Linked DNA regions of Arabidopsis thaliana. The protein of the gene in region 3 interacts with the protein of the main gene of each other region in a pairwise test. Each region holds a gene or a part of one and is shown on either strand. Other genes may lie near its edges. The genes, in order: DSK2, AT5G42220 and AT5G23820.

Evidence for each region.
Region 1: the proteins of AT5G23820 (region 3) and DSK2 interact in a two-hybrid assay, tested with the Arabidopsis thaliana proteins (one large-scale study listed by BioGRID).
Region 2: the proteins of AT5G23820 (region 3) and AT5G42220 interact in a two-hybrid assay, tested with the Arabidopsis thaliana proteins (one large-scale study listed by BioGRID).

What each region holds. Positions count from the first base shown.
Region 1 is NC_003071.7:7,480,480-7,488,519, forward strand, and holds DSK2 (ubiquitin family protein), read right to left. Parts: upstream 4,762-8,040; 5' UTR 4,612-4,761; coding exon 4,383-4,611; intron 4,271-4,382; coding exon 3,506-4,270; intron 3,212-3,505; coding exon 2,979-3,211; intron 2,903-2,978; coding exon 2,789-2,902; intron 2,609-2,788; coding exon 2,556-2,608; intron 2,164-2,555; coding exon 2,135-2,163; intron 1,963-2,134; coding exon 1,879-1,962; intron 1,803-1,878; coding exon 1,654-1,802; 3' UTR 1,402-1,653; downstream 1-1,401. Other genes in the region: AT2G17190 (ubiquitin family protein), read right to left, coding at 1-276, 654-882; AT2G17210 (Tetratricopeptide repeat (TPR)-like superfamily protein), read right to left, coding at 4,919-7,129; Kin3 (Protein kinase superfamily protein), read right to left, coding at 7,387-7,817, 7,894-8,017. UniProt on the Arabidopsis thaliana protein: Binds and presumably selects ubiquitin-conjugates for destruction. Prefers multiubiquitin chains rather than single ubiquitins, with a binding affinity for 'Lys-48'-linked ubiquitin chains.
Region 2 is NC_003076.8:16,869,910-16,880,094, reverse strand, and holds AT5G42220 (Ubiquitin-like superfamily protein), read right to left. Parts: upstream 7,858-10,185; 5' UTR 7,601-7,857; intron 7,139-7,600; 5' UTR 7,134-7,138; coding exon 7,005-7,133; intron 6,911-7,004; coding exon 6,793-6,910; intron 6,489-6,792; coding exon 6,390-6,488; intron 6,298-6,389; coding exon 6,182-6,297; intron 6,088-6,181; coding exon 6,001-6,087; intron 5,826-6,000; coding exon 5,631-5,825; intron 5,544-5,630; coding exon 5,474-5,543; intron 5,402-5,473; coding exon 5,247-5,401; intron 5,116-5,246; coding exon 4,951-5,115; intron 4,874-4,950; coding exon 4,802-4,873; intron 4,731-4,801; coding exon 4,613-4,730; intron 4,536-4,612; coding exon 4,293-4,535; intron 4,220-4,292; coding exon 4,071-4,219; intron 3,988-4,070; coding exon 3,796-3,987; intron 3,675-3,795; coding exon 3,144-3,674; intron 2,920-3,143; coding exon 2,782-2,919; intron 2,703-2,781; coding exon 2,640-2,702; 3' UTR 2,618-2,639; exon of another isoform or gene 2,363-2,617; intron 1,994-2,362; and 2 more. Other genes in the region: AT5G42223 (Defensin-like (DEFL) family protein), read left to right, coding at 1,150-1,243, 1,325-1,485; AT5G42210 (Major facilitator superfamily protein), read right to left, coding at 9,527-9,595, 9,980-10,050, 10,160-10,185.
Region 3 is NC_003076.8:8,028,747-8,035,388, reverse strand, and holds AT5G23820 (MD-2-related lipid recognition domain-containing protein), read right to left. Parts: upstream 4,225-6,642; 5' UTR 4,004-4,224; coding exon 3,907-4,003; intron 3,654-3,906; coding exon 3,552-3,653; intron 3,459-3,551; coding exon 3,280-3,458; intron 2,697-3,279; coding exon 2,580-2,696; 3' UTR 2,240-2,579; downstream 1-2,239. Other genes in the region: AT5G23830 (MD-2-related lipid recognition domain-containing protein), read right to left, coding at 677-793, 930-1,111, 1,226-1,324, 1,491-1,587; AAP7 (amino acid permease 7), read right to left, coding at 4,659-5,066, 5,341-5,568, 5,691-5,824, 5,923-6,143, 6,248-6,341, 6,531-6,642. UniProt on the Arabidopsis thaliana protein: May be involved in herbivory-mediated responses. May play a role in herbivory-associated molecular pattern (HAMP) recognition. May function is jasmonate (JA) signaling in response to HAMP.

The DNA.
Region 1 (8,040 bases), on a different chromosome or scaffold from region 3:
TCTCTCTAATCATGTTAGGGTTCTGAGCTAGTTGTTGCTGTGCCTGCTCAAGATCAGGAAGACCAGATCCAAATAATCCAGCCATAGCATTTCCACCACCCAAAGGATTAAATCCAAGGCCAGGGAACAAAGATTCACCTCCTCCGAGGTTTGAGCTATCATTTGAACCAACCGCTTGAGGAGCAGTGGTTTGGTTTCCAGCATTTGCAGCGGGAGCAGAAGGAGAAGAAGGCACAAAACCTCGAACCATATGAACGGTGTGATCAGCCTGCAAACCTATATATAAAATGGTCCACAGAGAAAGGAAACATTGAGGCTCATGATGCAAAACAATAAAACGTGGAAACTATCCAACACAATCATATCAACAACAGCCATTGATGGAGAAAATATACATCCCAAGAAGATACATGATCATGAGAACATTAGGAACTCTAAGAATGGTATGAATCAATTATCGTATCACTAACTACATCTCCTTATTCTTCCCATAGAAGGATTAAGCATACATCAAAACTCATAAAATCATCCATGCTTCTGTAAAAACCTAACATAAATCCAATGTTCCAACCCCCTAGAAACCCTATGAGATTTTCAGTCAAATTAAAGCAACGGAACAACAGAAATGAAACACGAAATGATCAGAAAATTACCATAGCTGAGGAGAGTCTGATCGTCTTTGAGGATACGTCCCTTGTAAATCAAACGCTGCTGATTTGCCGGCACATCGCTGTTCTGCGCAATTAACTCTTTGAAAGACTCCACCGTGGAATCGAGGCTCGTCGTCACACTAAATTTCGTGCCATTGGAGCATCTGACGTTCACGGCAACAGCTACGCCTTCAGCAGTCAGCGGCTGCCTCGAATCTGCTTCACCACCCATTCTAATTTCAGATCCTAGTTCAACAAATCGCGAAATTGATCGGAGAATCAAAAGCTCTAAACCTAGAAGAAAAAATCGTAGAAGAAGATTTGAGGAGACTCGAAGCTCTAATAAGTCGGTTCTGAAGATTTCTTGAGGAAAGGGATATAAATTATTTTTGGTCGAATAACAAATGAGACTGCAGAAAATTAAAGAGTTATTTGGCCCCGAACGGCCAATTAAATGAGAATCCAGAAATGACTTGCGCTTCAGAGAACGTATCGACGACTCTTACTGGGTAAGATTGGGCCGGGTCGGGTCTAAATTGAGGCATTTGGTATATAGTTCAGGAAGGAATTGGCTGTAACTTGAATCTAATTGAAGATGATGAATCAACTAATTGGATATTCCTTTGCAACATGCCACTTCTCTCTTTGGGCAATTTGGTTTAACCTTTGAACCGGATCAGAAGGAACCAAAAATTTAATGGGTTCAATTTCACTTTGATGTCTATAAACATTTACAGATGTTGTATGTTGTAACAACTTGAAATAAGTTATCAAAGATAAACACCCAAGATATATAGGTTTAAGGGTAGTTAAAGACGAAGAGTGACCACTGATAACAAATACCGTATTGATGCGGCTTTTCTATCAACAAAGTTCACGATCCTATCATATATAAATTTTTATGAATTCGATGAATATATCATTACTGAAAAACACACATTCAAGCTGTTTATTCTATAACTGAGAAGCCAGATGGAGAGACATCAGTTCATGAACCTGTATGCTACTGTCCGATACTCCCCAAGAGTCGTTCTACAGCAGCGTTAACGTTACCATTGGTTGCAAGCAACGCCCTAATGTTCTCTGCTCTGTCATAGAATCCCATTTCCTGCAACTGTTGCAATTGAGTAGCGTACCGCTCTTCAGGAGGAACTGGAATCAAACAGACAAGTTTCAGTGGAACCATCACAACAGATGCGTAAGCTAAAAAAAATTTGTAGTCTCTAACCATTGGATTGGTTCGTGCCACTCAGGCCGCCAGCACCAAGACTGCCAAACATATTCATCAATAAATCCAGCCCCCCGTTATTTCCTGTCCCCATCAGTATTGTCATTCTACTATTAACTTGTATACGATACAATATCTGCTAAAATAAAACATACATGAAAGCAAAGAGAACTAAAGAGTAGCTGCTATACTACGTAACATAACTAAACCCTTTATACTACTGTAGAATAAATACATATAATATCTTTAAGAGTACCTGTGGCAGCACCAGTTTGCCCCGCATCCCTACAGAGAAGATAGATTTGGGAACATGAATGCGGATTGATGAAAATCAAAATATGGAGATTAACACACATAGCTTATGCTAAAAGGCATAATCAAAAACAAACAAAATGTTATGAGCCCTATTCAAGTGTATTCCAACGATTAAAATGCTTTATTTATAGCCTCTTTGATAGATGTTACTAGTGATCAGCCCAGTAAATCATACAAGAGTTGCTGCATTAGTCATGGTTCAATCCTTTTCTTATTATAGAGATCGTTCACAACCAATCTTTTTAGCTAGTTACAACATTGTCTAAACACTAAACAACCCAAAAAACAATATGTAAAGGACATGTAAATGCTCAACTTTGTTTAAGCAAATCCAAACAACGAAGGGTTTTAACAAAACTTACTGGCTGGCTGTATTTCTATTCTGAGATAGTGATTGCTGTAGAGTCATCATTTGCTGAAGACCAAAAAACAATAGAAAACATTAGGTTTAAGAAACTTCTTTACTTTGTCCCAAAAAAAAAAAAGAAAAGAAACTTCTTTACTTGAAAATAGCTTAGATACAAAGAAATGTTTCTTTTGAGAGACTACCATGTTAAAAATTCATATGCATACAGACAATAGGGGACAAACTAACCTGCATCATCTCCGGAGAACTAAACTGACGAAGGAAATCTGGGTTCTGCATCATTTCCCTCAACTGAGGATTCGAATCTAGCATGCTTCGGAGTTGTGGGTTAAGACTCATAAGCTGGAATCAAGGGAAAACAATTAATATATGTTCACAATGGTAAAAGGCTCTTAAGTTCAGATCATTCTAGGCCTACCTGATTCATGTATTGTGGATTGGAAAATACGCTTTGCATCATCTGCGATATGGCTGGGTTTTGCAATAACTGGCTCAATTGAGAAGCATCTGGAGTCGCACCAAGAGGTGAATCCGCTCCAAGCATACCGAGTCCACCAAGGCCTCCAAGGCTTCCAAGACCACCAAGGCCACCAAGTCCAGGGCTCCTCGCATCCCCACCAACATTTGTCCTTCCAGGGGCAGTTGTCTGACCTGTCAAGTAGCCCACAATATGTTCAATTATATTTAGTGTATTATGAGTAAATGTTAAATTAGAAACAATAAGCCAAGAAAATCATATGCAAAAACTACACATAACAACAAATTGTGGTAACTACACTAACTCACCAATTTACTATACACAATATTGTTCCTGAAGCAGAGCAGTGAACAGTAACGTCCATTTCTTATAAACAAGCCACTTTTTCATTTATAAAATATTACTGCATCCTTCAAAAGACAAATAAAATCGACAGGAGATTAGAAGATGAAAATGCAGTTACTTACCACCTGTAGCACCCCAAGGATTAGGAAGTGGATTTGCATTCGGAATAGTCCCCGTTCCAGCATTTGGTGTCGAAGAATTATTAGAAGCATCACTTCCTTGCGTAGTGACCCCCTGGTTTCCCAACAGAGCAGCAAATGGATTGGAGCCTGTATTGTTTCCAGCATTCCCGGACATAGTGGTAGCATTCATTAACGGTTCCTGGACATTTTCATACATACGCCTAAGCATGTTAAATCCCTCAGGCATAGACTCAATATTACTCATAGCCCTATCAGTATTCCGCATCATTTCACGCATAAGCTCTGGGTTTCTTGCCGCTTCTAGAGTTTGACGAAGGATGCTTGGGTCATTGAGCACATGACCAAGCTCAGGATTGCGATCTACAAGCTCACGCATTTGAGGGTTATTCATAATCATACTCCTCATAAACTCTGGGTTGTTCATAAGGTTCTGGATGGCTGGAGTATTCATCATATCTCTAATCATGTTAGGGTTTTGAGCTAGTTGTTGCTGTGTCTGCACAAGATCCGGAAGACCAGCTCCAAATAACCCAGACATAGCATTTCCACCACCCAGAGGATTAAATCCAAGCCCAGGGAACAAAGATTCCCCAGGACTCGCTCCTCCTAGATTCGAGCTATTATCTGAACCAACCCCTCGAGTAACACTAGGTGCAGTGGTTTGGCTTGCGGCCGGAGCAGGAGGTGGTGCTGAAGAAGGTGCAGAGCCTCTAACCATATGAATGGTGTGATCAGCCTGCAAACCTAGGTATAACATGTTCCACAGAGAATAGAATCCACAAGAATTTCAATCAATAAGGATCTACGAGAACAACAAAAGTACCCACACGAATAAATCAGAAACGATGAAGATTACCATAGCTGAGGAGAGTTTGATCGTCCTTGAGGATACGACCCTTGTAAATCAAGCGCTGCTGATTAGCTGGAACATCGCTGCTCTGAGCCACCAACTCTTTGAAAGACTCCACCGTTGAATCGAGACTCGTCTTCACACTAAATTTCGTGCCATTAGAGCACCTGATGTTCACAGCCACAGCTTCTCCTTCACCACTCTGCGGCTGACTTGAATCTCCCTCTCCACCCATTTCTAATTTCGGATCCTAATACTTAAAATAATCGCAGAGCTCGCGAAATCGATCAGGAGCCCTAACCCTAGAAAAATTCGATAGAGATTTAGAAGACTCAAAAGCTCTGAGTCGGTTCGGTAGATTGCTTGACGAAATGGATCGAAGAGAACAAAACAAGAAGACTTCTGCTTCAGAGAACGGATCGAAGGGACCGGGTCGGGTCAAAAACAAAACCCGGTTCGTTCCTTTTCTCACCCGGATCCGAGAATACATACGGCATCGTATAATAATATCATTTATCTGCTTCGTTGAGGCCCAAAGGGCTTTAGTTTATCGGTCCTGCAGTATCGTCTAACTTCATGCATCTATGAAGACTCTGAACGACATCATTTAATTCAGAATCACTCTGGCTTAACTTGTCTCCAGCCAAAAACCTCTTTGCCAAGTTTCCTTCACGAACCATGCTATAACCCGCAACGACCCGAACCTTTCTCTCCTTCACCAACCTCCTCATCATTGCTACATCTTCCCATGATTTTTCTGCAGCAAATGTGCTTGACGCAAGCAAGTAACCTGAAGAACACAAGGGCTCGAGTTCAAGAACCTCAGCTACTACCTCTGAGGTAATGATCAATTTTTTAAAACGGTTTCTGCAACCGCTAAGAATCGCTCCCCAAGCACTAGCCCCTGCTTTAACATCTTCTGGAAGATTCTTGATAAGTTCCACAGCCGTATCAATCTCTCCAGCTCGGCTAAGCATGTCTACAATGCAAGAGTAATGTTGCAATGAAGGTTTGTGATCTTCTTCTACCATTGATTTGAAGATCATGAGACCTTTCTTTACCAATCCTCCATGATTACAAGCTGATAAAGCTGCCAGATATGTCACAGCGTTTGGTGTGTAACCTTTTTGTTTCATTTCATCGAACAATGCTAATGCTTTATCCGGTAGACCATTAATAGCATATGCTGAAATGATCACGGTCCAAGAGATGATGTTTTTCTCAGTGATTTGATCGAAAGTCCTTCTCGCCATTTCTATGGCACCACATTTTGCGTATGCGTCAACAATAGAGGTACCAACTGAGATGTCATTGATGGCTAAGCTTCTCCGGATAGCAATCCCATGTGCCCATTTGGAAGTTCTCAAGTCCGCTGAAACTGAGCATGCGTTAAGAAGACTTATGACGGTGATAGCATTGGGCGTATCCCTCATGTGACAGAAGATTGAGATTGCTTCATCGGATCGGCCAGCATGGGCTAATCCAGAGATCATTGTGCTACATGACACCACATCCTTGTACGTCATCGAATCAAGCACGGTTCCTGCATCATCAACAAGACTGCAGCTTGTATACGCATCAATCAAAGAACTCAAAGCCACTTCGTTTGACTCATATCCACGCCGAATTATTACACCATGTATTGACTTGCAAGGCAATGGCTGCTCAAAAAACTTGCAAACCCGGAGAAGACTCACGACTGTAACTTCATCCACTTCGACCGCCTCTTGCACCATCAAATGAAACATCTCAAGAGCCTCATCGTACCTTTGATTATGTACAAACCCAGCCAAAATCGAATTCCATGAAACAATGTTTCGACAAGTGGTCTCATCAAATACTCTAAATGCTGAATCAACATCAAATCCTTTTGAATACATATCAATAAGTGAATTGCAAACAAACACATCTGCCAAATCAAAACCTCTCCGTATCGAAAACCCATGAACTGATCTTCCAACATCAATGTCCTCCATCACCGTGCAAGCCTTGAGAACACTTGTCACAGTCACACAATCAGGCTCTGTTTTCGCCTCATGAACCATCTCTTTAAACAACTTCAATCCAACAACAGGTTCCTTGCTCTGCACATAACTTCGGATTACAACACTCCAAGAAATAACATCTCTTTCAGACATTTCATCGAACAGTTTACGTGCACTTAAAGAATCACTATCTGCGTACATACACAAGATCGAATTTTGAACAGACGAAATCCCACAAAACCCACTACGGATCACATAGCCATGAATCTTCTCTCCATCGAACCATAAACTACGACACGCATGAATCACAAGAACCAATGTTGAAGTATTAGGCTCAAAACCCCAAACTCTCAACTTCGAAAACCACCATAACCCTTCTTCTTCAAAACCATAATCGAGAAGCCCAAAAACGATAACATTCCAAGACACCGAATCTCTCGAATTCATACAATCAAATTCTCGTAACCCAGAACACAAGTCTCCACATTTCATATAGAAATCAGCAATTGAGTTCCCTACAGAAACAAAAGACTCAAAACCTCTCTTTAACAGACTTGCTTGAATACATCTACCTTGAAACAGCCATGAGAGCTTAGCACAAGCTTTAAAAACAATGGGGAAAACGAAAGGATCGTTAAATTGAACTCCAGCTCTCTGTATCTCTGAATACCCAGAGACCACTTCCCGCCATTTTCCACTAACAGAAGCTTGCTTAATCTTCGAAGACAAAGCTTGTAGCTTTGAACACAAGTGTGATCCCATTACCATACTTCAAACCACAACTAAAGTTTGAAGCTTTAACAACAAAATTGTGTGAACAATGGCTTATATATTGATGACCATTAGTTAAACCTTTTCATAATCTGGTTTAACCGTTTAAGTAGTTATATTACACACACCAAACACTACATACTAATACAGGTACAACATTTGTTTTCTCTTTCATGTAGTATACATACGAATGGGTTTTGATAATCTTAACAAATACAAAACTAAGAAAAGAATCTCAGTGTCTTCAAACAACACTAGTGAGCTCGAGACACGTTTTGTCTAGGACGAAACGAAGAGAGTTGTTGCGGGCGATAATGGCCTTGTTGTTGACGGATGGATGGGGAAGCTCTAGTGGTCCTTCGTTCTAACGGTTTCTCATTGGCAGCTTCGATGAGTTCGAGCGATTCCACCACTTCTTTCATCGATGGACGGTTTTTGGGTTCGGGTCCAAGGCATTTCAGAGCCAGTTGAGCTACTCGGAAAGCAGATTTGAAAGGGTATTTTCCTTCTAGACGAGGGTCCATTATGCTTCTTAGCTTTCTTCTTTCGGATAGATGAGGTTTGATCCATTCGGTTAGATTGTGTTGCCCGGTAGGACGAGTAGGATCAAGCGCATGTAAACCAGTTAAGATCTCAGCCAAAACAACGCCAAACCCGTAAACATCGCTCTTTACATACAAGTGACCTGTTGGAACCAACAAACATGTTCACAGTTTGTTGTTGGAAACCAAAAGAACTAAGAATACAAAACATTGTAGTACCTGTAGCAACATACTCTGGAGCTGCGTAACCGTGTGTACCCATAACCCGTGTTGTGATGTGAGATTGACTAGCGGAAGGTCCTAATTTCGCCAATCCAAAATCTGATATCTTTGCGTTATATGACTGCATCAAGAGCAAACCAGTTG
Region 2 (10,185 bases), 8.8 Mb from region 3:
AGAAAATAGAGAATAGTATTAGTAGTAACGGATTTATTAACCCCCAAGACTTAAGTCACACTGTTTTTGGTGGAAAAATAAATATAGAGATGAATCTGAAAGAAAGATAGGTTAAGATTTAAGAACAATGTCACCTGAAAAGTGGGGTGGTGTTTGGAGGATGATGGATGATGAATCGTGACTAACCGTATGATCTTTCTTTGTTACTTAACATTGACTTAATTAGGCTTAGTTAGGTCTAATTTGATAACATAAATGTCTATTTGCATCTTCCATGAGACAAAAACCTAAAACCATCAATAGATTTGACAAAACAAAATAAATAAAAACAATCATAATATTAAAACTCTTATGACTTTTCAAATAATATCAATATTTAAACTTTAATTTCACGATGTTATACGACATGTGAAATTCTAACATTAACAATCAAAATACAATTATACATTATTAAACACTAAACAAAATAAACAGTACTAAACAAATCAACTTACAATTTCACCTTTTTAGTTATAAAATATCGTCATACGGTGTATCGCAGGTTAATATCTAGTTTTTAATATTTTTGTCGAAGAATTGCGAAGACTTATTGTAATCTGAAATTATTGAATATATATCAGACATAAAGTTGTTACTTGAATATTTTTAACTATAGAAGGCGTTAAAATTCACAATATATATATATATTATTTTAGTATAAAAATATATATTTCTTAAAAAATTATGTATATTTGTTTAATAAACTAAGTATAGACCCTTTAATCATATTAAAGAATGATATAATATAAACTAATTCTGTTTAGATCAAATTATTACATCTTATCTTTAACAAAAAATTCAATTTAACTTCAAGTTCCAACCATGGAACCTGAGATCTTTTTTTTTTTTAATTGAATTGAAAAGAATTTTCGTATTTAAATATTTGTAAAACAATGTATGTTATCTTATTAATGTTTCAAACATAATTAGGTAAGAATACTTATCTCTTTATTTTTTCTTTTGACTAACTCAAGAGAATTTTTTTTTGGATTCTTTTCCTTTTCCTCTTTCACCAAAAAGAACCTTTGAATGTATGTTTGTGTTATTATATATATAATCATCGTAAGTGCTAGAATCAGTCGTAAGAAAATTTAAGAGACTATATTAGACATGGCTATCACCAAGAAATGTTTTGCCGCATTTGTACTCATCCTCCTCTTTGTCATGCCTTTCGTTTATTGCTCGGAATTAGATAACACTTCTGGTACTATCTTATTATGAATCAACCACTTTTTTCTTATGAGTTTATATATATATTGATCTCTTGATTATTACTATAATATAGGTTTTGAAATAAAGCAAGAAGATAAATGCTACGGCCCAGAACCGTGTAAAAATGGTTACGAAGGATGCTTGTTCTTTTGTGTAAGAATAGCCTATTACTTATATGGGGAATGTACTATGAAGCCTGATCATCAAAAGCATTGTTGTTGTGTGACAAAATAATCTAATAAAATGTTGATATTTACTAAAAGCAACATAACTAGTTTTCATACGACTTTGAATATTCAAAAGATCGAGAGTGAAATGCACAAAGCATACCATAATTGAAGTTGGTTTGATTTGACACAATCGATGTTTCTCTTTTGCATCTTTTCAAATGAAGGAATTGCAACATTTATTCATTTTTCGCTCAATTTGGATGAAATACAAACGTTGCAATATCTTGGTGAACCATTTGAGATTTATTTTAGAAAATCTCGAACTTGGGTCCTAATAATAATTAAAAATTTAGTCTTTTTCACTCTAGAAAAGTCATAAGTAAGAAAAATTAGCGATGAAACAATTATTTGCAAAACTCATCACAAAAGACAGCTTGTCTTAGGAATGTTCATGATCTCCGATGTCGCTAAGTCATGGCTCGCTGATCTTGAAAATCTCTGAACCCATGATGTTTTAGTTCAATTTTGTCGTCATCCTTAATTTTTCCGGTGGTGATCAATTGTTCACAACCCTTGAATACGTAAAACCATAAAACAAATTTTAATAATCTTTTAGAAATTAAATATAAAATAAAACAATATTATTAATTTGTCATAATCCAAAATTATAAATTTGTACAACAAAACAAACACAACAACTTTGTAATTTTAAACATATTAAAAATTCATAGTAAATTTTATAATATATAATTTTTTATAAAAATTAAATAATATATAACATCTTATTATTGGGGTTGTCGTGACAGTTCATTTTTCTGAATTATTCTACTATTTATTAGTTTACATTCCATATTTATTGTGCAATCTTTATTACCTATTTGTTAAGGAATTAAACTAAATATATAATTTGCTACAGTCACTCGTTAGTGTAGCCCTTTAGCCAAATTTTCGATCAAAACCAAAATTGTCAGTTATAAAGGGACACCTTTTTCCCAAGTAATTTGGTCAATGTCGAGAGTTATGAGTAATCTCTGGTTAAAGATGGAAATATCAAATTGAATCGGCCCTTTAGAGACCAGATAAATTACGTTTGCTTATGTTTAGCAGAGTATAGACCATCCCAAACCCTAATTCTTAATACATAAGTGAGGGATCTCAGCAAATAAACAAAGATACTTCAAAGATATGACACTTACAGAACCAATTCAACCAAATATCTTATAGACCTTGATCATCTTTTAGCCGGCCTTCGATATCACGTCTTAGCAACTCCGCATATTCCTGCAACACTCAAATACAAGTCTGATCAAGGAGTCTTTATTTTTATTAAACAAACAAACTAGTCAGTTTTGATGCTTACTTGAGAAAGAGCTTCATCACAGCAAAGCTCGTTCACTAGTTCGTCTTGGCTTATCGCAGCATTTTCGACCATTGCACGGAAGACATCCTCTGGTGGATCAGAGTGCTCAATCATTTGAGCCATGGATTGAACATTTACCTATTTGGAAAAAGTAGAAAAATAACATTCATTACACGAGATAGAACAAGAGACAATGACGTTTATTGTAATACCTAGGTAAGAATGGTGTTACTTTTTCTACAACTAAAAAAAGACAACAACAAAATCCTACTCAGTCGATAATAGTATCAGTTTTTCTTCAGCCACATTTTTTTCCTAAATCAAAAACGCAAGAAATCCAAACCTAACACTCGTAGATGTACCTGAGAAGGTTGACGATCATCAGGCTGTATTGTTGCGGGATGAGGCAATGGCCCTCCTTGGCTAAAAGCACGTGAGACTAGAGGCATCATTTGTTGGACCATTCTAGAGAAATCAAAGCCGCCGCCCTCGCCTTGAGCTCCACCTGACATCATATTTTCTATCTCTTGCCCATCCACCTGTTGCGCAATCTGTTGGACTGTGTTCATGATCTGTGGATTCTGGGTAAACTGCTGGAGCATATTTCTCAGCATATTTGGTGAATCAACACCAGCTTGTCGAGATACCCCTGCTAGCAATCCATCCAATACAGGGCTCTCCAGGACCTGAGACATTGCACTTGAGACATCTACACGATCATCTGAACCTTGCCCGCGTCTAAGACCAGTCTCATCTGAACGAGAACTACCAGAAAAGAGAGATTGCAAAAGCTGCTGACCACTGGTCCCACTGCTTTGTTGCACACCTTCAAGTGTAGCTGAAGTCCCGCTATCTTCAGTCTTACCTGATACCTTCGGCTGCTTGCTTCGTTTCTTTAACCAAAAAAAACATACTATGACTGTAAGCATTTGGAACTATGACACTTGTGGATATGCTATGCAATGAAAAACAAGCAGCAGCAACTTGACGCTTATTTTTCAACTGATTCATTACCTTACGGTCTAAACCGCCAAGCCCCAATCCAAGTGGTGTAGCTGTAGCTACCTCTGGAGTAGCCTTATTGGTTTCTTTGGCATCACCGGTAGCATCTCCAGACGGAGCTGATGATTGTCCTGTAGTACAAGAGGTATCTTTTGCTCGGGCTGGATGCTCTAAATCTCCACCAAGATCTTTTTCATTTTGACACTGGTTGAAAAAACAAAAATTAGTGGTAGGCTAACCCTGGTGAACATAAAATAAAGAATCATCTGATTGCAGAGAAGACATACCACTGAGTTGCTCCTCTCAGATGGTAAGTCATGCAGTGAGCCACTAGACGACTCAGGTGCGCAAGTAGTTGCAATGTTGGTAGGCTGCTCAGGCATAGCAGTGGCAACACCATGGCCCGTAGACATATCCCTCTCGAGAGATTCTATTCCTGATTGACACGTGAAGAAGAGCTTGAAAACATTTCGTCCACAATGTAAAACTTTAGTCAGCAGGAAACCTACCCGATGGAATCTGGTCTCTTCCTTGCATAATGTTTACCATATCTCTTATCCTTGCATTGATTTGAGCAACTGAAACATCATCACCCAAACCAGGTTGAACCCCAGCAGAAACGTTCTCACCGGTAGAGTGTGATGGAACAGCCGCAGGAACTGAACTTGTATTGCTGTCACGGTCTCCTTGTCCTCCTTCTCCATTGCTTCGCTGGTTCCCAACTGATGACAACATAGGTGAACCTGATGTGCCTGGTAATTAAGTATGAATTTTAATGGAGAAGAATTGTGCAGCTAAGTCCAATAGCAAAAAAGTGAACTTCACCCACCAGCATGTATGTGAATATTAATGTGCCTTTGGGCAGTTCCTAAACCAACAGGTCCGGTTAGTGGATTTGATGAGACAGTAGCACCAGTAAAGAGAGGGCTGATTTGGTGAGGAAAAGGCTGCAAAATACAGTAATAATTACATAAAAGTAGAAAATTAATTTAGAAAAAAGATGAGACTAGAAGCTTACCTGAACCATAATAGGATTCGGTCCTGATGGAGATATATACACAGCAGGCCCTGCATTCACATAGGATAATTCCTGTAGATCAAAGTGTTAATGAGCCGCATGTCAAGAATGAATAGGAAAATGCACGAAAGGAATGACCCAAAACGCACCGGCGACGGTGCCATTCTCAATGTCAAAATTGTGCGTCCAAGCTCCAGTAGGAGGGCCCCTAAATGTTGCATGGCAAGACCTACTTGCACGGCCTCTGTCTGGATTTGTGACCTTAGAGTAGGATCTGAAGATGAACCATCTTGCTCCAGACGTCCCGCAATATGCTACAACAATGTTTTTGCAAATTACAAACAGCACATAATTAGATGACAATGCATGGTAACCATATACATAACAGTTCTTGTAAAGAGAAAGAATGGAATCAATTAATAAGCAGTGTGAAGAAGGTGTTTACCGATAAAGAAGAGACACCGAGACCACTCAGTAAATGTTGTGCATTCCTTAGGACAACAGAGAGTGCTTCAGGTGTTGCTGCACCTCGTCTATTTCTAGGCAACTCTTCCCTTGGTCGCCCTCCGGATCCAGCAGAAGAGGTATCTGGCTGATAGCCTGGAGGAACATCCAATTAACTTATTTATGTGTTCTCTATCCAATATGACAATAAAACTTAGATCACAATACCATTTTGTGATAATGCCTGCTCCATCCGATTAATGAACTCCATTAGAGTGTCTAAGGAATCCGGAATAGGCTGCAGAATTAGAGAGTTACATTGTAAAATGACAAGATTAAAGCTCTAGTCTCAAGATCAAAATACTACTACGTGACTAAGAACTACCGTTAAGAATGAAGGGATAGGAATCGTTGTGGCTGCTGTAACAGGAATCTGAACTACACGAGGCATCGATGTTTGAAATGATACACCAGGAAATGCTTGCCTAGGTTGTGAATGACCCGTAGCTTGGCTTTGACCACCAATGCCAGGCTCTCCATCAGATGTATTTCCAGGAGGTGCATTAGACGACTGATTCGACTAGGAAAAATAAAAGCGCATGCAACATCGAGTTTAGAAACAGGCAATAGTTGATGACAATATGAAACCTTACACATCAAATAGTAACAACACCTGATTCTCAACAATCCTTAATGTAGACTAAGCACTAATATGGAATAAATTCGAAATAGAGAGTGACGAGAAAAAAACTCACGGGCATAGAGGATTGCGTGCCATTAGTACTGTGATTTGTAGGAAGCTGTCCACTAACTCCAAAAGAATTTAGAACTGCTCCAATGACCTTAGTAGTTAGCAACACAAAATTAAAAGCAGGTTAGCCTAACTAATCAAACCATCCCATAGGCCAAACAATATCACAAATCCTTGGGGATTACCCGGCTGAGGTCTGGAACAATGCCTTCTGTCTGATCTCCAACATTAAAAGACCCAAGAACTACGCTGTGGGAGACATGTCTTCCATTTCGAGATGGTCCACCATTTGTATTATTTCCTGTTGAATTAAATAACAAGTTGAAATAAGATGATGGTTGTGTTAACAGCTCTTTTAAAACTCAGAAAGGGGATAAAAAATAACTTGATTACCATCATTTGCAGTTGCCCCTTGTGAAGGTGTACCAGAGGAAGGAGCTGATTCTGCTGGCTGCCTCACAATCAAGTGTAAAGTATGCCCATTTTCCAAATCTATGACGATGTCAAGTTATCAACTATACTGAAAGTAGAAAAGCGATGGAAGGAAACGACAGACATAAACTAAAACTAAGCTTATCGAAGGTATATATATATATATAGTTCTCTTTCTGGATTACAGCTTCCTCTACGGTGTAAGACTCACAAAAGCAGAGATGCACTTGATCAATCAAAAACTAGACTTCCGACAGATTTGGTTAACATGCATTTTATACACAGGGCACATGGCATAATGCAACAAACAGCTACACTATAACATAAAATCAACAAGTTAACAAAGTCGCTAGCACTAGGATACGATACTCCGAGAGAGGATGATCATCTTTCAAAACCCGTCCTCGGAAAATGAGCCGCTGCTGACCAACCGGCACCCCTGTCTCACTAGCAATCTTCTCCTTGAATAGCAAAACAGTTTCCTGCAACAAGTCAAGCCCTAAGCAGTATCAGATATAAGCAAACTAAACTTAAGCAAATATGCAGGTGAAGCAGAAGAAGAAGAAGATTTCTTACATTCTTGTTCACTTGGAAAGTATACGTCCGCGAGTCTAACGTTTTGATGTTAAGCTCAAGGGTTGATTCTGGAGTTTTCTCCGACGCATTGGTGCTACTAGAGCACTGGTTAATGGGTTGATCTTCCATGAACCCTAAAGTATTAAAATTTAAAAAACATAAAGCTTGTAAATTCATCTTACAAAAGAATGATCTCATAATAAACAATATTATCTCTAGGGTACTCAAATCAAAACCTTTACCACACACATTTCCAGATATTGATCATACAAAACAGAATCAACAATGAGACACAAACAAATGACATAACTAAATGCTAGTCATTGTAACAAAAGACCAAATCCTATATATATGCAAGTCATTGTAATAAAAATGCTAAAAATCAAAAACTTTCACCATCCAAAGCCACAAACAAAAGACCCAGACCCAAATAAATGCAAGTCATTGTAATATCACTGTTCAAAAATCAAAACTTTCACCGTCCAAACCCAAAAACAAATCTGCTAAGGCAAAAACAGAGCCTATAGATACGGAAAAAAAGGATCAAGATTTAAGAAAAAAACAATCAAATTCCATGAAGGCAACGAAGAACGAACCTATTTGCCGTCGTGGGGTATTGAAAAATTGAAACTTTGGCGGAACAAAAGACTCTCCGATTGAAATCTAGAGAAGTATCTCAAAGTTGAAACACGAAACCAAACCTGATGTGTTCAGAGTTAAAGGGGAAGAACAAGGGCGATTGTGTCGGGAACTCGGGATTTTGGTGAAATTGAAAAGAAAAAGAAGAATCTAGAGGAGGAAGATACAACGACGACGTTTTGAAAACCTGAATTGACGCTTCCGCGAATATAGGCCTAGTCTCCGCTCTAAATGTGGACTCTTCTATTAATAATATAAAGCTGGGCCTGGCCTTTTTAACCATATCTAAAATAAATTTTAAACATGTGCTTCTTTTTCTGTTTTATTATGTAATTTTGATTTCTAATATTTAAGTATTTAAGTTTACACATAACTGGATTAATCATGAAGATTATGGTTTACATATAACTGAAACGAATCTATGTTATTGTTGTCGTTAATAATGGTTATTATTTTATTATTTTTTGTCATCAAATTATATTAATGTTCAAATGAGTCAACTTTAGAAAAAATTGTTTACATATATGAAGCGATTCAGTACGAATTTTTCGTGCCAAAGTATTCGTTCTAACATTTGCAGTATAAGAGATTAGAGATAGAAACAAGCTTGAGATTTTTTTATTGTCACTCAGGCAAATCTTTCAAAATTGTAGAATACACCGGCCATTAGGTTAGGGAAAACACTATATTCATTAGGTTTGAACAGTCTGTGAAAAACACTACATGTTGGTTATGTGTCGAAAGATCATTTAAAGTTTAGTCTGACAATTTTGCGGCAGTGTATATGCAAACAACAACAAAAGTAGAACAATCAAAGCATATAGACATAGAGTGTCATATTGTGTGAGAAAGGATTCAAGATGATGTGGTTTCAGTTAAGCATATAGGTAGAAATTTCATGAAAGCGGATCCGTTAACTAAAGGTATTCCACCTAAAGTTTAGTCCACATTATTAGTTAAAATACAAAAACAACTAGATTTTAACCTGTGGTATACCGCGGGAACAATTTATTTTTTAAAGTTAGTATATATAAAAGTTTACAAATTGTATCTATCTATAAAATAATTTTATTTTATAGTTTACAAATGTTATTAAGTATCGTCCTGTCAAACCCGTCCTGTAAAAAAAAAACTATTTATTTTATTAATGTTGATCTTATTTATGATATGTTTATGAATCATTGTCTAAATATTTTGTAATTTTGTAGTAATTAAATGCTATCAGATTATATCTCTGCGCTTTGATGATTATAATCGAATTGTTATAGTTATGGAGAAAATCAATATCAAAAATGATAATTTTGTAGTAATTAAATGATATTAAATATTTTGGAAGTATTATTTTAGTAAATAATCGTGTAGTTAATGTGGAGATATTTTGGGAAGATTGTTAAATGTCAAATATTTAATTCGAATATTTTCTTTTTAATTATCAAAAACAAACATTAAAATCCAGTGGCAGCCATTGTAAATAAGTCACAACTAAAGGATTTATTTCACAAAATGGCTGCAAAAATGTATATATAGATTATAATAAAACATGTTTCAATTATGTCTATATATACAAAAATAATTATGATGTATATAAATAAATTTAATGATACAAATATTGGAGCTATTTTGTTGCTTTAGACAACTAAACTAACTTTGAACTCAAAAAAAGAAAGAAGATATCTAAATTAACTGAAACGGCCATTAAATATGGTGTTTCCCCTAGGAGTTATTGACTAACCTATACAAGCTATTGGTGTCTTGCTGACTTTAGATATCATAAACCCGTACACAATATGGGTTAAAAAAAAACATCAAGGATTCGACCAATGCAATTAAAACCTGTATATTATCTTTCACTACGAAATCCATATGGTTTTGAGGAAACTGTGTTATGGAGATCCCATAACTGATATTGGTGTTGCTGCTCTGATCATCAGGCTTTGGATGAAAGCTATAGTCTACAAAGAAAAACAAAGTAACGGACATTATATATATTATTTTTCTTAGTAATCGAACAACTCATATAACTTTGAGGAATCAATTAAAAGGTTTATATGTTTCACATACATTGTCATATAACTAAATGTTAAACCAAAAAAAAAAGAACTGAATGAGTTAGTGATTTTTCATGGGAAATTAGATAAGATTTAAAGTTTCCTTTTTGCACAACCAACAACAGCATTCGTTGTGAATTAGATAAGAGTATGAAAACTAAGAAAGTAAAAACTAATTAAAAGGATAACGTTCCTTTCTTGGTTTAACCGGACATTTATTTGTATAGTTTCATGGAGGCTAACTTGAGTGAATTTCAGTAGAAAATGCAAAAACATAAAGTATATTACCATGGCAAATCCCGCACACATTATACTGAACCCTGGGAAATTAAATGGGGCTCTTTCAGACAGAAACCAATCTAAGAAAAATAAAAATACTAGTGTTAGTAGCAAGTTATTTGCATTTCTATCTACAGAAGTTTTTGAAATAGCATTATTAAACAATGCTTATGTAAATAGTGATGAAACCTGTTAGAGGTGAAAATGCTAGCGGG
Region 3 (6,642 bases):
CGGCTAGCAAAGTCAGCCTATATATCTCAAGGAGATGTCTTGACTCTTGATGTTGTATCTTAGCAAGAAAAAGTATTAGCGTAAGGTTGCTTAACCAGTTGTCTAATGTTTAGCACACCACCGGTTCTTTATACCTTGCAGAGTTTATGATTAGTTTCGGAAGCTAAGAAATATGATTTCATCACCAAAAATGAAAAATAAAAATTGATCAAGTGAAAAACCATGGAGAATGATAGCATTCATTTAGTTTTAGCTTAGTCACCAAGATTGGGGAATTGCAAAGTGTAAGTTGTGAATTTATAGAGCTATCATATAATTAGTAAAATCATCCAACTGGTTACCAAAACAAATCGCATAATCATCCAACTTTGTTGTAATTATTTGAAAGTCTCCTCATATTTCCGTTCTATTCTGCGTTTTATTATGCGTATCCGCTACTCGTAAAACATTTCCTCTGTAAAAAACTTTATTTTTGATCAATATCAACCAGAAAATTCAAGGAAAGGCATGTTGGTTCATATTAATCAGGCCAAAATTACAACAAAGCAATATCTATAGCGATATCGGTTCAAGGATTTGATTTATTTGTTGGACAACACATAAAAAAGGAAAAATGCAAGCGAGAAAGAGTCATATAATGAAAGAGTTGGAAACATCTTTTCATCAGCCAACGTGACTAAATAGAGACAAATGCAGAAGCTGAGGCAGGTACTTTGAAGTCGATACACATTTTTATTATTGGATCCTCCTCCTCTGCGGTTTTTTGACGCAAAGATACGGAATACTTGATTCCCTGCCAAGTTAAAAAGAAGAATTAATGAGAAACAAAGAACATCATGAACCCAAAAGCATTACTTGAGAAAACATTGGTCCTAGGACTTCTTAAGGAAACTTCAAATTCATATACAAAGAGTATTAAAAATAGTTACCTCATCAAAACCAACATAAAGAACGTCTTTAAGACTGAAGTCAAACACGTCGCCAGCTTCAATCTCAGAATCAATGTTACATGCCAAACTCACATCACATAGGTCGTAAGTTTTTAAAAGGCCTGTAAAATCCCCAGATCTATAGGCTACATATACAAGGGTTCCCGCGGATATTTCTTTCGCTGTATATACACACGAAGAATTTTATCAAAAAATATATTAGAAACTATATAAAGAAAATAAAAAGAGAGTTGAAATTTGGAAAAATCATCAAAAGATTCAAAACTATTACTTACTCGCAGTACCAAATACATTTATAGTGAGGGTTGGGTTTTCCTGAGGCCCAACCCGAAAGACCTCGATCCAAGAGACGACACCATAATCATGTCCATTTTCTGCAGGTAAAAAACACTTAGATCTATACATCTTTCTAAGAAAGAAAAAAATCCACTTATTTATTTGAATTCATATGTCAAACTAATTGGTTTTATAGGGGTTTTCTATAATTAAACACACGAAAAAAAATATAGAACATTGAAGACTTAACAAATCGATACTTACTGGTGCAATATTCAAAATCGTTGGCGCTGCACAAAGCCAGTAAGAAGAAGAGTGATGCGAGGAAGAAAAGCACAGGCTGGACATGAGACATCGCCATGGTTCTTCAAAGCTTCTTGGATATTTTTTTTTTTTGTTTGACTAACAAGTTTGGTACATCATGTTATGCTTTTATGCAAGCCTGCTATTTTATAATCTACATAATAAGTAGATGGGATCGTAAGTGCAAAAATTATATCCATATATTTTAATCTCCCACATAATAAGCGAGAATCTTAAAATATTAGTATGATCATCATCAATTTTTTATTACCTTACCTACCAATTTTTCTCATTCACAATCACGTGGATTTTATCTGGGAGAGACCGATCCGTCTAGAAGAACTGTATTATTATAAAATCTGCAGATTTGAAAAGAACGTAAAGTTAACATTTTAACGGCTAGCAAAGTCGGCCTATATATCTCAAGGAAATGTCTTGACTCTTGATGTTGTATCTTAGCAAGAAAAAGTGTTAGCGTAAGGGTGCATAACCAGTTATCTAATGTTTAGCACACCTTCAATTTCACTGTATTTGTGGACCGGTTCTTTATACCTTGCAGTGTATACTTTATGATAGTTTCGGAAGCAACAAAATGAGATATTTCTCTGTTCTCACCAAAAATGAAAAAAAAAACGGCTAAGTGAAATAACCATGCAGAATGATAGCATTCATTTTGTTTTAGTCACCTAGATTAATTGTTAATTTGTAGAGCTTTATGATTGGTAAAATCATATAAAATAGGATAATCATCCAACTTTGTTGTAATTATTTGAAAGTCTCCTCATATTTCTCTGTTCTCTCTGCTTTTATTATGCTCATGGGCTACTAGTAAAACATTTCCTATGTAAAAAACTTTATTTTTGATTAATATCAACCAGTAAATCGAAGAAAAGACATGCTCGATTGCTTGTTCATATCGCTATCGATATCGGTCCAAGATTTTAATTTATTTGTTGGACAACACAAAAAGGGAAAAGGAAAAGCAAAGTTGCGAGAGAGACTCATATAATCAAAAGAGACTTGGAAACATCTTTTCATCAGCCAACTTGACTAAATAGAGACAAATGCAGGAGCTGGGGCAGGTACTTTGAAGTCGACACACATTTTTATTATTGGATCCTCCTCCTCTAAGGTCTTTCGGCGCAAAGATACCGAGTACTTGATTTCCTGCCAAGTAATGTGAATCAAGTCAGACCGGTTTGATTATTTATATTTAATTTCACTAATAGTATAATATACATAAAATGTTTTTATATTTATCACTAAGATATACAACACATGATAAAATGGAAAAGAAGTAGAGTTAATGAGAAATATATAACATCATGAAACCAAAAACATTACTTTTGAAGTTAACTTTGTAAGCATGGAATTGTAGTTAAACTCAAAATAACAATATCAAAGTGAAATCTTAAATATCAACAGAATTATTATAGTATACCCTAAATAACTTATAAGAAATATAAAATAAAATTAAACGTGTTGAGAAAAAGGAAGTATAAAAAATTTCTAATAGAAGATGTGATGTTAAAGCATAAAGCCAAGTCTTGAAAAAATAAAAATAAAAATGAAAATGAAAAATAAATAAACCAATGTGAACCGGTTGTACTAGTTTTAGGGGTTTTGCCGGTCAATTACGGTTATTTAATTAGTCCAACCTTGGGTTTGAAACATTGGTCCTAGGATTAAGGAAAATTCACATTCATTCATGCTTTTTATTTTCCTATGCTAAGAGTAGAAATGTAGTTACCTCATCATAACCAACATAAAGAACGTCGGAAAGAGTTAACTCAAAGTTGGTGCCAGCTTCAATCTCAGCTTCATTGTTACATGCACTCACATCACAAAGGTTGTAAGTTTTTAAAAGGCCGGTAAATTCCCCATCTCTAAAGGCTACGTACACAAGGGTTCCCGCGGGGATGTTTTTGCCTATATATATAAAGGATTTTATCAAGAAAATATTCAAAACTAGAGAAAAAAAGAGAGAGTTGAAACTAGATCATAAAATTAATTGTTACTTACTTGCAGAACCGAATAAATTTATAGTGATGGTTGGGTTTTCGTGAGGCCCAACAGATGGAGAGACCACAATGCTAGTGACGGTTCCGTAATCGTTTCCATTTTCTGCAACAGTCGCATATATTAATTGTGGAAGCTATAACTTACGAGTCCCCGGTAGGTTAAAAAAAATTGGAATCCAATTCAAATGTCAAAGAGTTCAAATATTGGTTTACTAAAAGAAACAAAAAACAGAGCCATGAGCAAGCCAGAATCTATGAAATCAAGGTCTATCTGAATTTATAATTCATTTATAAACTAATAAACACACAAAAATCATATAGAAAAGTAACTGAAGACTTAACAAATAGATACTTACTGGCGCAGTATTCGAAATCTATGGCGCCACGCAAAGCCGGTAAGAAGAAGAGTGATACGAGGAGGAGTAGCATAGGCTGGACATGAGACATCGCCATGGATCTTCAAAGCTCTTTAAAAAGATTTTTTTTCTTCTTCAAGTTTGACTAAACAAGTTTGTAATACATGTTATGTTTCTATGCAAGTCTGCTATTTTATAATCTACAGAATAAGTAGATAGGATCATAACTAGCATATGATGCTCTGGACCAGGGCCTGCATAAATTATATATATCCATATATATTAAACCCCACGTTTTTGTACACGAGAAGGTTATAATATTAGTGTTTAATGTCAATTATTTACTACCTTACCTACCGCCTTTGTTCATTCACAATCACGTGGATTCATTTCGGAGAGACCGATCCGTCTCGAAGAACTATATTATTTATAAACACATTAAATTTGATTTTAAACTTTTTTTTTTTTGACAAAACCACATGTTCTATAACGACAACACGAATTGACTACCTTACCGAAAAAAAATAATTTTGGGGCCTTGATTGAATCTTTTCCAATAATTTTGGGGCCTTGATTGTTTATGGTAGTTTTAAAATATAAAACATGGTAGGAAATTCGTCTTTAGAGTTAATTCATTAAAAATCAAAATTTCATACTAAATACGAATTACATTTACATAAGTTGTAACGGATCTCACATTTATTTATCAATTAACTAGAGTAGGATCGCTACATCACATCGGCATTGGCTAATCATCCGAATTTAGCTCCAACAAGTCCATAAATAGATCCAACAAGAGACAAGAGACAGACGAGCAAGCACACAAAGCTGAAACCTCTAAGAAGAAGCCATGGTCGCGTCCAACTTCGGATTTTCTTCTGCAATATACACATCTCCACAGGAAAATACACTGCCAGAGGCCAAAATGCAAGTGCCCCCACCACTCCTAATACTTCATTGAAGTAGGGAAACATCACTGCCACTCCCGTTGTGATCAACACGTACATCGTTCTCAAACACATCCTCATTGGGTTCAATCTCACCGTCTCTCCTCGCAACAATGGCAGTTTGAATCCGTAGAATCTGGCGATAAACTTATTTTCCGGATATTTCTTGGTTAGCGATCTCTCCGCAGCCGCGAAAATTGGTTGACTGTATACCTAAAATGTCATTCTATATTTTAGAAATGTATGGAAGATTTTAGATCTCGATTGTTTGTTTGCTTTAGAACATGTTACATAACAACTTAAAACCTCTTTTGGTATTTTACACAATTTATTTTGTGAATCATAAACGCAAACGTTAAAATGACACATAGTAACCAAAAATATTTTGTCTAAAATACTAGAATGGTAGTTTGTTTTCTAAAATGTGAACGAAAACATAAAAATCAACGAGCATGTTGGTTAGATGGGCAAGGGGTTTCTGAGATACCTGATATCCACCAACTAAATGAAGAACAATGCAAGCGTTGGCGAAATCGACGAGCCAGAATGGCTCATAGAAGCCGAAACCGGTCAAGAGATTTCCCGGGGTGGAATCTCCAAAGGCCGCGTACCCAAAACATCCACAACAGAAGAAGAAGAATGTTTGGATGAATACCGCAACCGTCGAGGCTTTCTTCATCGTTTGCTTCTCTGCCGGTGGTGATCTCAATGTGTCCTGTCCTTAATTTTCATTTAACACACGTAAAAAAAAGGTTTCTTGATCTCTAAGAGTAGTGCTATTTAATGTGTTAATTAATCTTACTTGGCGTCATTATGCATGAAGGTAAAATTATTTACCTGAATCTCAAGAAGTATGATTGAGAAAGGATATGAAAAGGCAATGTTCCCAAGAGCTTGGAACACTATCCATACCTTTTCACCTCTGTTTTCTGCTGGTATTCCCCTTATACTTCCCTCAATTTTTCGATTCTCTTCATTTCAAAAACAAAGTTATTTGATTGTCTTCCCCCATCTCAAAATAATTTTATACTCAAAATCAAAATTGACAAAGAAAAAGTAATATCTATACCTATGATTTTGCCAAGGGCGAGGCCGATGCCAATGAACGAGTAAGTAAAAGACATAATAGCGGCGACAAGAGAGAGCCATACCATGTTGTGGAAATTAGGTATTTGTGACATAAATATCTGAGTCAAACCAAACAAAACCATGAAGTAGTTGTTGTTGTCTCCATATGAACATGTTGCATTGTGTCCATTTCTATGATAACAATTCGATTTCATAATTGCTCTGTAATGAAATGAAAAACAAAAAACTCTACGTATCAATATTGGAAAATAAAAAATTCCTAGGAAATAGAACAACAGTTGAAATATGTTTACATATGTTATTACCTACTGCATGTAGCTATAACAATGGTATAAGCAATGCCACAACCAAAAAGGGAAATGTATACAACGACTCCACATACAATTTCATTCTTCTTCCCTGCAAATCAAAATTACCCATATGAATAAATTTAAATTACAACTAAAATAAAAATTTAGTTTTCCGGACCAAATTAGTTTGTTATTTCTTATTGCATGTATTTAAACTCGTGATTTTGAAAACTTTTCCATTAGGTGGCAAGATAGTACGCTAGTTGAACTTATCGGAAATATTAGTTTTGAAGTTGACCTAAATACAATTTAACGGCTTGAGAGTAAGAATTGAGTCGGAGGGGACCGTTGTTAGGATCAGGGAAACGGTAGCAATCGGAAAGAAGAAAAGCAGAGAGAAGTGTGACCCC